Linked DNA regions of Mus musculus. The protein of the gene in region 2 binds, or shares a complex with, the protein of the main gene of each other region. Links are inferred from orthologs where the notes say so. Each region holds a gene or a part of one and is shown on either strand. Other genes may lie near its edges. The genes, in order: Emd and Banf1.

The links.
Region 1: the proteins of Banf1 (region 2) and Emd are in contact, whole or in part, in a crystal structure (PDB 7NDY), measured with the Homo sapiens proteins. The link is inferred for Mus musculus from reciprocal best matches to the Homo sapiens genes BANF1 and EMD. Residues at the interface, in NP_001137457.1 of Homo sapiens: Arg37, Phe39, Gln48, Val51, Leu52, Lys53, Asp55, Leu58, Glu61, Trp62, Asp65; in NP_000108.1 of Homo sapiens: Pro22, His23, Gly24, Pro25, Val27, Ser29, Thr30, Arg32, Leu33, Tyr34, Lys36, Lys37, Glu40.

The regions. Positions count from the first base shown.
Region 1 is NC_000086.7:74,253,281-74,257,671, reverse strand, and holds the start of Emd (emerin), read right to left. Parts: upstream 2,986-4,391; 5' UTR 2,721-2,985; coding exon 2,639-2,720; intron 2,465-2,638; coding exon 2,357-2,464; intron 2,220-2,356; coding exon 2,142-2,219; intron 1,930-2,141; coding exon 1,796-1,929; intron 795-1,795; coding exon 748-794; intron 666-747; coding exon 335-665; 3' UTR 1-334. UniProt on the Homo sapiens protein: Stabilizes and promotes the formation of a nuclear actin cortical network. Stimulates actin polymerization in vitro by binding and stabilizing the pointed end of growing filaments. Inhibits beta-catenin activity by preventing its accumulation in the nucleus.
Region 2 is NC_000085.6:5,363,927-5,368,259, forward strand, and holds Banf1 (barrier-to-autointegration factor), read right to left. Parts: upstream 2,951-4,333; 5' UTR 2,642-2,950; exon of another isoform or gene 2,508-2,641; intron 2,438-2,507; exon of another isoform or gene 2,337-2,437; intron 2,031-2,336; 5' UTR 2,015-2,030; coding exon 1,892-2,014; intron 1,233-1,891; coding exon 1,086-1,232; 3' UTR 707-1,085; downstream 1-706. Other genes in the region: probable RNA-binding protein EIF1AD, read left to right, coding at 4,264-4,333. UniProt on the Homo sapiens protein: Non-specific DNA-binding protein that plays key roles in mitotic nuclear reassembly, chromatin organization, DNA damage response, gene expression and intrinsic immunity against foreign DNA.

The DNA.
Region 1 (4,391 bases), on a different chromosome or scaffold from region 2:
GACAACAAACAGGCATGCATGACAACTACCACTGCCACCACCAAGTTTTCCTCTAATGAAGTGAGGTCCTCCCACCAGACCCCGGTACCCTAAGGGTCAGAGGCAATAGGGCTAGGAGGCTCCAGAGGAAGGTACAGGTAGGCCTACTGGGCTGTAGAAGGCCAACATTTGCTGCTTCCTTGGCAGGATGAGGTGGGAGACAAGCATTGCCTTAGGCTAGACCTTGCACCCAACTAGAACACACAAAAAAGCCCCTACCCTCCCCACCCCCAGCAAACACCGATAAGGCAATCAGCCAAAACTCCTGGTAAGAGCTGCTCTAAAACCAATACCCTTAGGGATCCATCCAGAAGGGGTTGCCTTCTTCAGCTTGTATGGAATAGTAAACAAAGAGCAGAAAGGCAGCAAAGACCAGGAAGAGTAACAGCTGGCCCCAGAGTGGGACCTGTCGATCCTGGCCCAGAGCAGCAGCAGGGGCCTGCTTCTCTGGCCGAATGGCACGTCGGGTAAGCCATGAAGAGGGAGAAGATGAAGAGGAGGACACAGAAGAGGTGGAGGATGTAGGATAATATGATAAGCCCAGAGAGCTCCTGGAGACATTGGAAATGGGGCGGTAGTGTGCGATGCTCTGGTAGGCACTGTCTTGGCCATAGATGAGGCGCTCCCTGTGGCAAAAGAAGGCAACAGGTAGGCAGGAGAGTCTGAGACTCGAATTTGTCCCTGTCCCTACATATGTTCACTACTCACCTATCCTTGCCTTCCTCTTCTAAAGAAGAGAAAATGTCATCACGCACCTGCAGAATAATTAGGATTAGAAATGGGGAAGAATGGTTTTCCTTAAATGTCTCTGGCTAGCCTGCTCTAATCATATCATAGGGACCAGAAAATTGCCCCCCCCTCCCCCATTCTGAGTATGTGGAGCCTCTTTATCTGTGGGGCCTTGCTGCTCAGTTACTAACCCTGTTGACTTTGTTCCAGCATCCTTTTATTCCCCTGGATTCTCAGGAGGCTTAAATCTATATCGTAGATTAATTACTAGAGTGCAGGAGCTGTTACATATTCTCTGATCAAAAAAGTTTGTGGGCTGAAGAGGTGGTTCACTGGTTAAGAGCACATATTATTCTTCCTAGGTACCTGAGGTCAATTTCCAGCACACACATCAGGCAGTTTACAACTACCTGTAGCTCTAGCTCTAGTGGGAATATGACAATTCTCACCTCTGTAGGTGCCAGCACTCATGCATACTACCCACAGACATGTATGTGAGAATTCTGGAATTTTGGCTTTTTTAAGAAACACAGAAATATTGTAAGAATATGTTTTTGTTTTAATCTTAGGTGTGGAATATGGGGCTGCTTCACAGCAGCTAACTATGAGTTGCCTCATGCTTTTAGCAAAGGTGTGTTTCTGTGAGTTTCAGATAGTTTCTACAATTGTGTGATATTTGGAATTCTGGGAATTTTTCATTACTGGGGGTGAAGTGGGGGGGGGGAAATACCCACAAACTAACAAAAATTGGCCACACATATGTATAATTAAAGTAATTAAATCTTTTAAAAAAGCCAAAACCCCAAAACATTTGTTATGTGCTGCTGGAGATGAAACCATAGGTAAATACTCTTCTGCTGAGCATCCCCAAATCCAATAGTTTTGAAGGTTCCAACATAGAATTTTTAACCCGACAGCTGTATGCTGACCCTAACCAGATTTGAAAGCCTAAGATCCACTCTCTGCACCTATCCAAACCTAGAATTCCCTAAGGCTGCACCCCAGGTATACCTACCAGCCAACTCACCTGGTGATGGAAGGTATCAGCATCTACAAGTGAGGTCCCCGGCTGGCGGAAGCTCTTGGACATGCCCACAGACTCAGGCTCCCCGTATGTCTTGGTGGTCAAATAACTCTCCTCATAGTAGTCATCATTATAGTCTTGGGGAGGAAAACAGTGGTAGAGGAAAAAGTGGTGCCCCTTAACTGGCCTCCTCTTCTCCCTCCCCAGCCTGTGTGTGCTGTGTCAGTTTCTCCCCTCTGAAGCCACTGAGAACTGGTACAAGGAGGTGAGGGAGGTCTGGGGTTTCCCTGTGCCCAAATCCCGGAAGCATGGGATAAAAACATCAGTGCCCACCCTATACCTGCCTTACCCTTGCTCTGGTAAAGTAAGGCGTCTTCTTTTTTGGGCAGATCATACATGTCTGAGTCCACGGCGGCTGAATCCAAGTCTGCATGTGAAGGAGGAGGGACAGGACCATTCGATCTCCAGCCTTCCCCCTACTCCCTCAATAGCTTCGGCCACACCCTCCCTCCCTAAGACGTGTGCCCCAAGCTGCTCTTTGGGGCTCTGCAGTTAAGGGCTCACCTGAGAACTGATAGGAGAATGAAGAAGATGACGAGTTGGGGGGTAAGAGTCTCCTTCTCTGGGTCTCGTACTCGAAGATTTTCTTTTCGTAGAGCTTGCGAGTGGAACCTGCCCAGACACAGGGTGCGAAGCGGTCAGAGGGCGTGAGCCGAGCACCCCAAGAGCACAAGGGAACACGGGGAGGGGACTTGAGGGGAGGGAGAGGTGGGGAGAACGCTCAGGGAGGAGCGCGGGAAAGCAGTGGACCAAGAGAGGTTCTGAGCGCCACCGGGTGCAGCATACCCACAATAGGCCCATGAGGGATGTTGTACTGGCGTAGCACTGCGGCCAGCTCAGTATCGGACAAAACCGCATAGTCGTCCATGGCAGACAAGGCCGGCACCTGGAAGCGGTGTTGAACGCCAGGGGCGGCCGGGGCCTACAGACAGGGCCCAAGAAACCAACCGCTCGGAGCCTAGAAGAAGAAGCGCCAGAGCCTCAAGAGCGGCTGTGGGCGCGTCACGCCGCCGTCACATTTGCGTCACAGCCGCGGCTACGCAGGTTGCGCGCGCTCCTCAGGGCAGGCCCAAACTAGCCAGAACGGCCGGTGCAGACCGGTCTAGCTGAGGGAACAGGCTGGGCTGGCAAACAGAAACGTAACGCTTGTGAGAGATTGGCTCGAACAGGGAGAAGGCGGAGCTTTCAGAACTCGTGCGGCAGCGGTTGAGACTTCCTTTGAGAGCTAGGCCGCCGAGGGGCGGAGCTGGCTGACCTCACTAGAGGATGCTTTAGAGCGCAACTTACTAGGGATGAGGCAAGTGATTTGACCAAAACCGGCTTGTGAGATTTCCCAACCTGTGAGATCTCACATACTTTTGTTACTGGCTTCATTCCTGATTTTATTCCCCCGGTGTTCCAGTGCCTAGGATTCTCAGCCACAGTGTGATCCACAGCAGTGTAAAGCAATCCTGAGAGCGAACCCTTCCAGAGCGCCTAACGCTGCTGAGAGCTCTTTGTATGCTGTCAGACAGGGCTCTCATCACCTAACATAGACACCCACAGAGCCCTGGCACTCCCTACCCATCTCCTTTGGTCTTCCCAGTCTCCATGACCCTGGCCTGCACACCTGCACAGGCCCATTCCCACCGTCGTCTTCTCTAATGCCTAGTTCCATTCGCGAGGAAATGGGGCCAGCACTGGGCCAAGTGGCCACCAGCACTACAGGATCAAGCAGCTTTCCAAAGGTCCAGGGTATGCCAATGCACACAATCAGAGGGCGCCTGCCTGCCTGCCTGCCTGCCTGCCCTGTGATGCATGTAGATCTGTACACCTTGTACCTGCCATACTCACTGTTCTACCTTGGGCCCTGAGGAATTCTGGGGGGAGAGGTCTTCTCTGGCTGAGTAGAATAGTCTCTAAGCTTGGTGTGACCTTAGAGACCTAGACAAGTGTACAAAGCCTAGAGCACTATTTCTCAACCTCCTTAATGCTGCAATCCTTTAATACAGTTCCTCATGTTGTGGTGACTCCCCACCCATAAAATTATTGTGTTGTACTTCATAAATGTAATTTCAATATTGCTATAAATTAAAATATAAATATTTGTTATGCAGGATATCTGATATGTGAGATCCAAAGGGATAGCGACCCCAGAGGTTCTGAACTGCTGGCCTAGAGGCAAACCATGGGAATTGATGGAGGCTTACTAAGGATCTGGATCAGAGAAAGGTTGCCTTGAAGAGTGACCATGACCATTATATTCTACACAAAGTCATGTGGATCTAGGTAGGCTGCCCTTTATTGGAGAGATCTAGAAGAAGGGGTACGCGTAGAAAAAGTGTGTAGGATGCCTGATCTCTTAAATCAGTGCTTCTCAACCTTCCTAATGCTGTTGTGGTGATTCCCAATCACAAAATATTTTTGTTGCTACTTTATAATGGTAATTTTTGCTACTTTATGAGTCATAATGTAAATATTTTTGGAGACAAGGTTTGCCAGAGGGGTTGTAACCCACAGGTTGTCTTAAGTGATAGTGATAGTGAGTACTTTGCTCAGT
Region 2 (4,333 bases):
CAGCACTGTACCTGCTCCCCACAACCCTCACCGTATGAAGCTCAAAAAGCATAGCATGGGTTACATGACACAGGAACACAGGCTCCCACACACTTTGAGCTCCAGTGGCTAGTTTCTTGAAAGTTCAAGGGCAAATTAGCTTTCTAAGCTCCAAATCTCTTACCATTCCAAAATAAAAAATGTAATAAGTGCTTACAAAGATACTAGTTTCAGGGTTGGCTCACAATATGAGCTTGAAAACAATAGAAGTAGGATTTGGCTTTCAAGTTTAACCATTTCCTTCCTTTTCTATGGTAGCTTGGCAAACAGCAAAAGTCCCACCCATTCATTCTTGCCAGACGCTAAGAGCACATGCTATGATGACTGGCAGGTGACCTCTTACCCACATCCCATCCACCCGCTTCCTGGTACCTTTGACTCCCACTGACTTTCCACCAGGTGCTGCCTAGACTGACTGCTGACATCTGGAAGCCTTCAGCCTACCTGGCTCCCAGGAGAAAAAAGCCAACCCACACTCTCTCCCACAATGTTTAGGAATTGGGACACCCAGGGCACCTGCCCAGAGCCCACATGGCTAGGGTGGCTCCCTCTTGGGAGGGGAAATAGAAGGCACCAGTTTCGGTCTGCACTGATAACGAATGAAGTAGACGTGTTCAGCCCTGGGAATACACAACTCCCCAGCCTATCTGCTCTCTGACACAGAACACCAAGTATGAAGGCCACTGATTTTATTAATTTAAAAATCTTTTATAAGGACAGTGACTGTTTTTGCCAAAAAAAGGAAAGGAGCCAAAGGGCATCCAACAGATAGTGAGGGAGAAGGGGGCCAGGAATCCATTCAGGAAAGTTGGTAACTGCTGCCACGGAACTGCAGGGGGAGGTGGAAGGGAAAGGCATGCAAGGGAAACGATCCCAGAAAGATTGAAACGCTGAGGGGAGAGAACTCCCCATAGACCCTGGAGTACATAGGAGGTGAGGGTGACAACAGCCATCTTTTCCTTTATGGAGGACAGGGAGGAGCCCTGCCCTGCTGCAGACTCTGGAAACTGTGCTGTGGCTGGGGTATGAGGGATCCCCAGAGAACACTACAAGAAGGCATCACACCATTCTCGAAGGCACCCAAAGCAGTCCCGGGACTGCTTGGCATTGGCACCACATGTATCCTTCAGCCATTCTCGGAAGAGGTCTTCATCTTTCTTTAGCACCAGAAACTGGCCAAGGACCACATAAGCCTGCAGAATAGAAAAGGGCATGTGGCTAAGTGTCTCATGGGCTAAAGCAACAGGACTGTCCACGCTGATACCACTCCGAAGAGGCCAGATCTCTGAAGCTAGGGAGGGTTAGGTGGTAAATACTTCAGAGGGCAAGGCCATTTTTATTTTGATTAAGACAGGGTTTGTTGCCAGGCAGTGGTGGCGCACGACTTTAATCCCAGCACTTGGGAGGCAGAGACAGGCGGATTTCTGAGTTCGAGGCCAGCCTGGTCTACAGAGTGAGTTCCAGGACAGCCAGGGCTACACAGAGAAACCCTGTCTCGAAAAAAAAAAAAAAAGAAAGACAGGGTTTGTTCCTTTGTTGTCAGGGCTGGCATTAAATCCCACGGGAATCCTCTTAGCTCAACTTCCCAAGTGTTAGGGTCATAAGCACAATCCACTATGCCTAGTTTCATTTTCGTGATATTTAAAACACACAAAAGGGCAGGGGACAGTGAGCCACACCTTTAATCCTAGCACTGAGAAGCCCTGTCTCAACAAAACACAAAAATGAAGGAGGCACCATGCCTCCCCAGGTACCCCCCAAACATGTGTGGGCCTCACTCCCAATCTGCGTGGTACCACCTGTTGCCAACCTTCGCTCCTACCCCTCCCTGGCATTTGCAGCCCCCCCACACCTTGTCAAAGCCCCTTTCCTCCAGCCTCTTGCTCAGGACGTCACCAATCCCGGCCAGGCTCCCCACTGGCTTTTCCCCCATGGGCTCTGCCACGAAGTCTCGGTGCTTTTGGGAGGTTGTCATCGTGATCAGGCTTAACCTGGGAATCCCCCCCGCCAAAAAAAAAAAAAAAAAAAAAAGAAAAGTAGGTTAGGGCTGAAGACCACAAGTCCCAAGGGCAATATCCTACCACAGCTACTGTGGCTGCTCCCTTGAGTCCCCCCAACCCATCCCCGGCTATTCGGAAATTTCCACTTTCCGTGGGTCCTGGTTTTGGGTATATTGGATATATCAGCTTGCACTAGCTGGTGGCGCACCTAAGGCAACAGAGCGACTCCCAGACTCAGTAGTCAAGGTCCGCCCTGAAGCCCTCACAGCCCGCGACCCTGGCTACACAGACACTGACCCCGTTGGGAACTAACACGTGGTAGGAACAGCACGCGGCTCTCGCCAGCCTCGCCGCCCTCACTCGGGCTGCCGGCCTCTTCCACGCCTCTCAGGTCCCGCAGGCCCCGCCCTGAGGCCCCGCCCCGCTCCGAGCGCCCCGCCCCCTCCACGCGCCGCCACCCGGACACACCGCGCATCGCCCCTCCCGCAGACTCGGGCTGCCCCGCTGCAAAGGCGCGCCTCCGCGATGGATTCCCCTCCCTCCCGCCTCTGCGCGCCGCCACCGCACGCCAGCCGGAGCACCACTCCGCTTCTCACGCTCACCGGAGGCTCCGGCTCTGGTAACGGCTCCTCGCGCCACTCGGCCGCTCCCGCCCAGACCTCAAGCTACGAGACGGTTCCTCGACTTCCGCTTCCGGGTCGTTTTATGCGCGACCTTCAAAACTAATCCCCAAACTGGGCAGGTCTAGCTACCCGGAGCCATAGAGTTGACGCGCAATCGCCAGCCGCGGCGCCCACGGGGGTCGCTGTTTTCCGGTTCCTCTCAAGAAGCCATCCGGCTTTCGATGGCTTTTGTTTCTCCAGCGGCCCTTCCGGTCTGTGGGATCGAGACCTCCGAGGAGAATGCGTTTTCCTGCCCCGCACTCGGAACTTAGGCTTGCCTCACTTGATGGAGGGAAGAGTTAAAGGGACGGACGAAGAGGGGGCGGGAAATCCGGAGGACCTCTGAGCGCCCCGGAATCGCAATTCCCGGCGCGGTTTCCTCAGGTCTGTCACCTCAGACCGGCAGACGGGAGGGAGGAACAACGGAGGATTGGGGCCGAGCGTCCAGACCGGCGTTACCGTCGGGGCCACCTGCAGGTCACAGTTGTTTGCTCTTTGGTCCCTCGCTGTCGAGGCGCGTCGTGGACGAGCTACTGTCGCCGTCAACCTGGAAAGCGGAGCGTGCTGGTGTGGCGCCGAGCGGGTGAGTTCCGTGGGCAGCTCTCGTGCTGGGCGCCGCGTCGGTCGCTCCGTGCCTGGGATGTGTCGGGAGGCCGTCGTTGTGTGGCTCTCCTGCCTTGGGTGTTGAAGCCTGTGGCGGAACGCAGCTCACCTTAGATTTCGCTCAGAGAGCTTGGCGGGATGACCGATCGGCCTGGGAGGGGGAGGCGTCGCCGTCCTAACAGGACTGAGACGTAGGACTCAGGGCTTGCCCTGTGCTGGGTAGTTTCCGTGATCTCGCCGATTTACTTAGTTTTTCTTTGTTATTGAGAGGGCCGGCCCCGTGCTCCGTGGGTTGGGATTAGTGTTGAGATCGAAGGCTTGAGCCACCCTGACGTCTCAGCTGACACTATAAAACCTGTGTTTCCTGGTTTGGTTTGTTTTTTTTTTAAAGATGTCCCCCATGGGTGGTGTTGTGAGTGCCCTCGGAAGCCAGAAGAGGGCGGTGGATGCCCTTGAATTGGAGTTAAAGGTGGTTGTGAACCATCTGATGTGGGTGCTGGCTCATAGGACATCTCCCTGGCCCTTGAAGGTCCTGCTTGTTTGTTTTTGGTTTACGGTCTCCCTATGTAGACTAGGTTGGCCCAGGACTCAACAAATTTCTGCCTACCTCTCCCTCCCAAGTGCTAAGAATAAAGATATACACCAGCACCTGGCTAAGTCTGTGATTTGTCTTTCAATGATTTCATTCATGTTTTATGTGTATTAGTGTTTTTACCTGCATGTGTGTCTCAAAAGAGGGCGTTGAATCCCCTGTGGCTGGAAACCATACCTGGTTCTCTGCCAGAGCAGCAAGTCCTGCTGTCCCCTAAAGTGCATGTTTTTAACAGGGCGAGGTGGCACTTTTTCGTATAAGGCTGCTTCTCTTGAAAGCAGTCCTGGCTTCTAAGGCTGGCATCCAAATAATTCTGGAAGAAGAACTGACAGTCTGTGCACCCTAACAACCCTGGACAGAAACCAGCATGTCTCAGGCCAGCAAGAGGAAGCATGTGGTGCAGGAGGTGCTGGGGGAGCACATGGTGCCTTCTGACC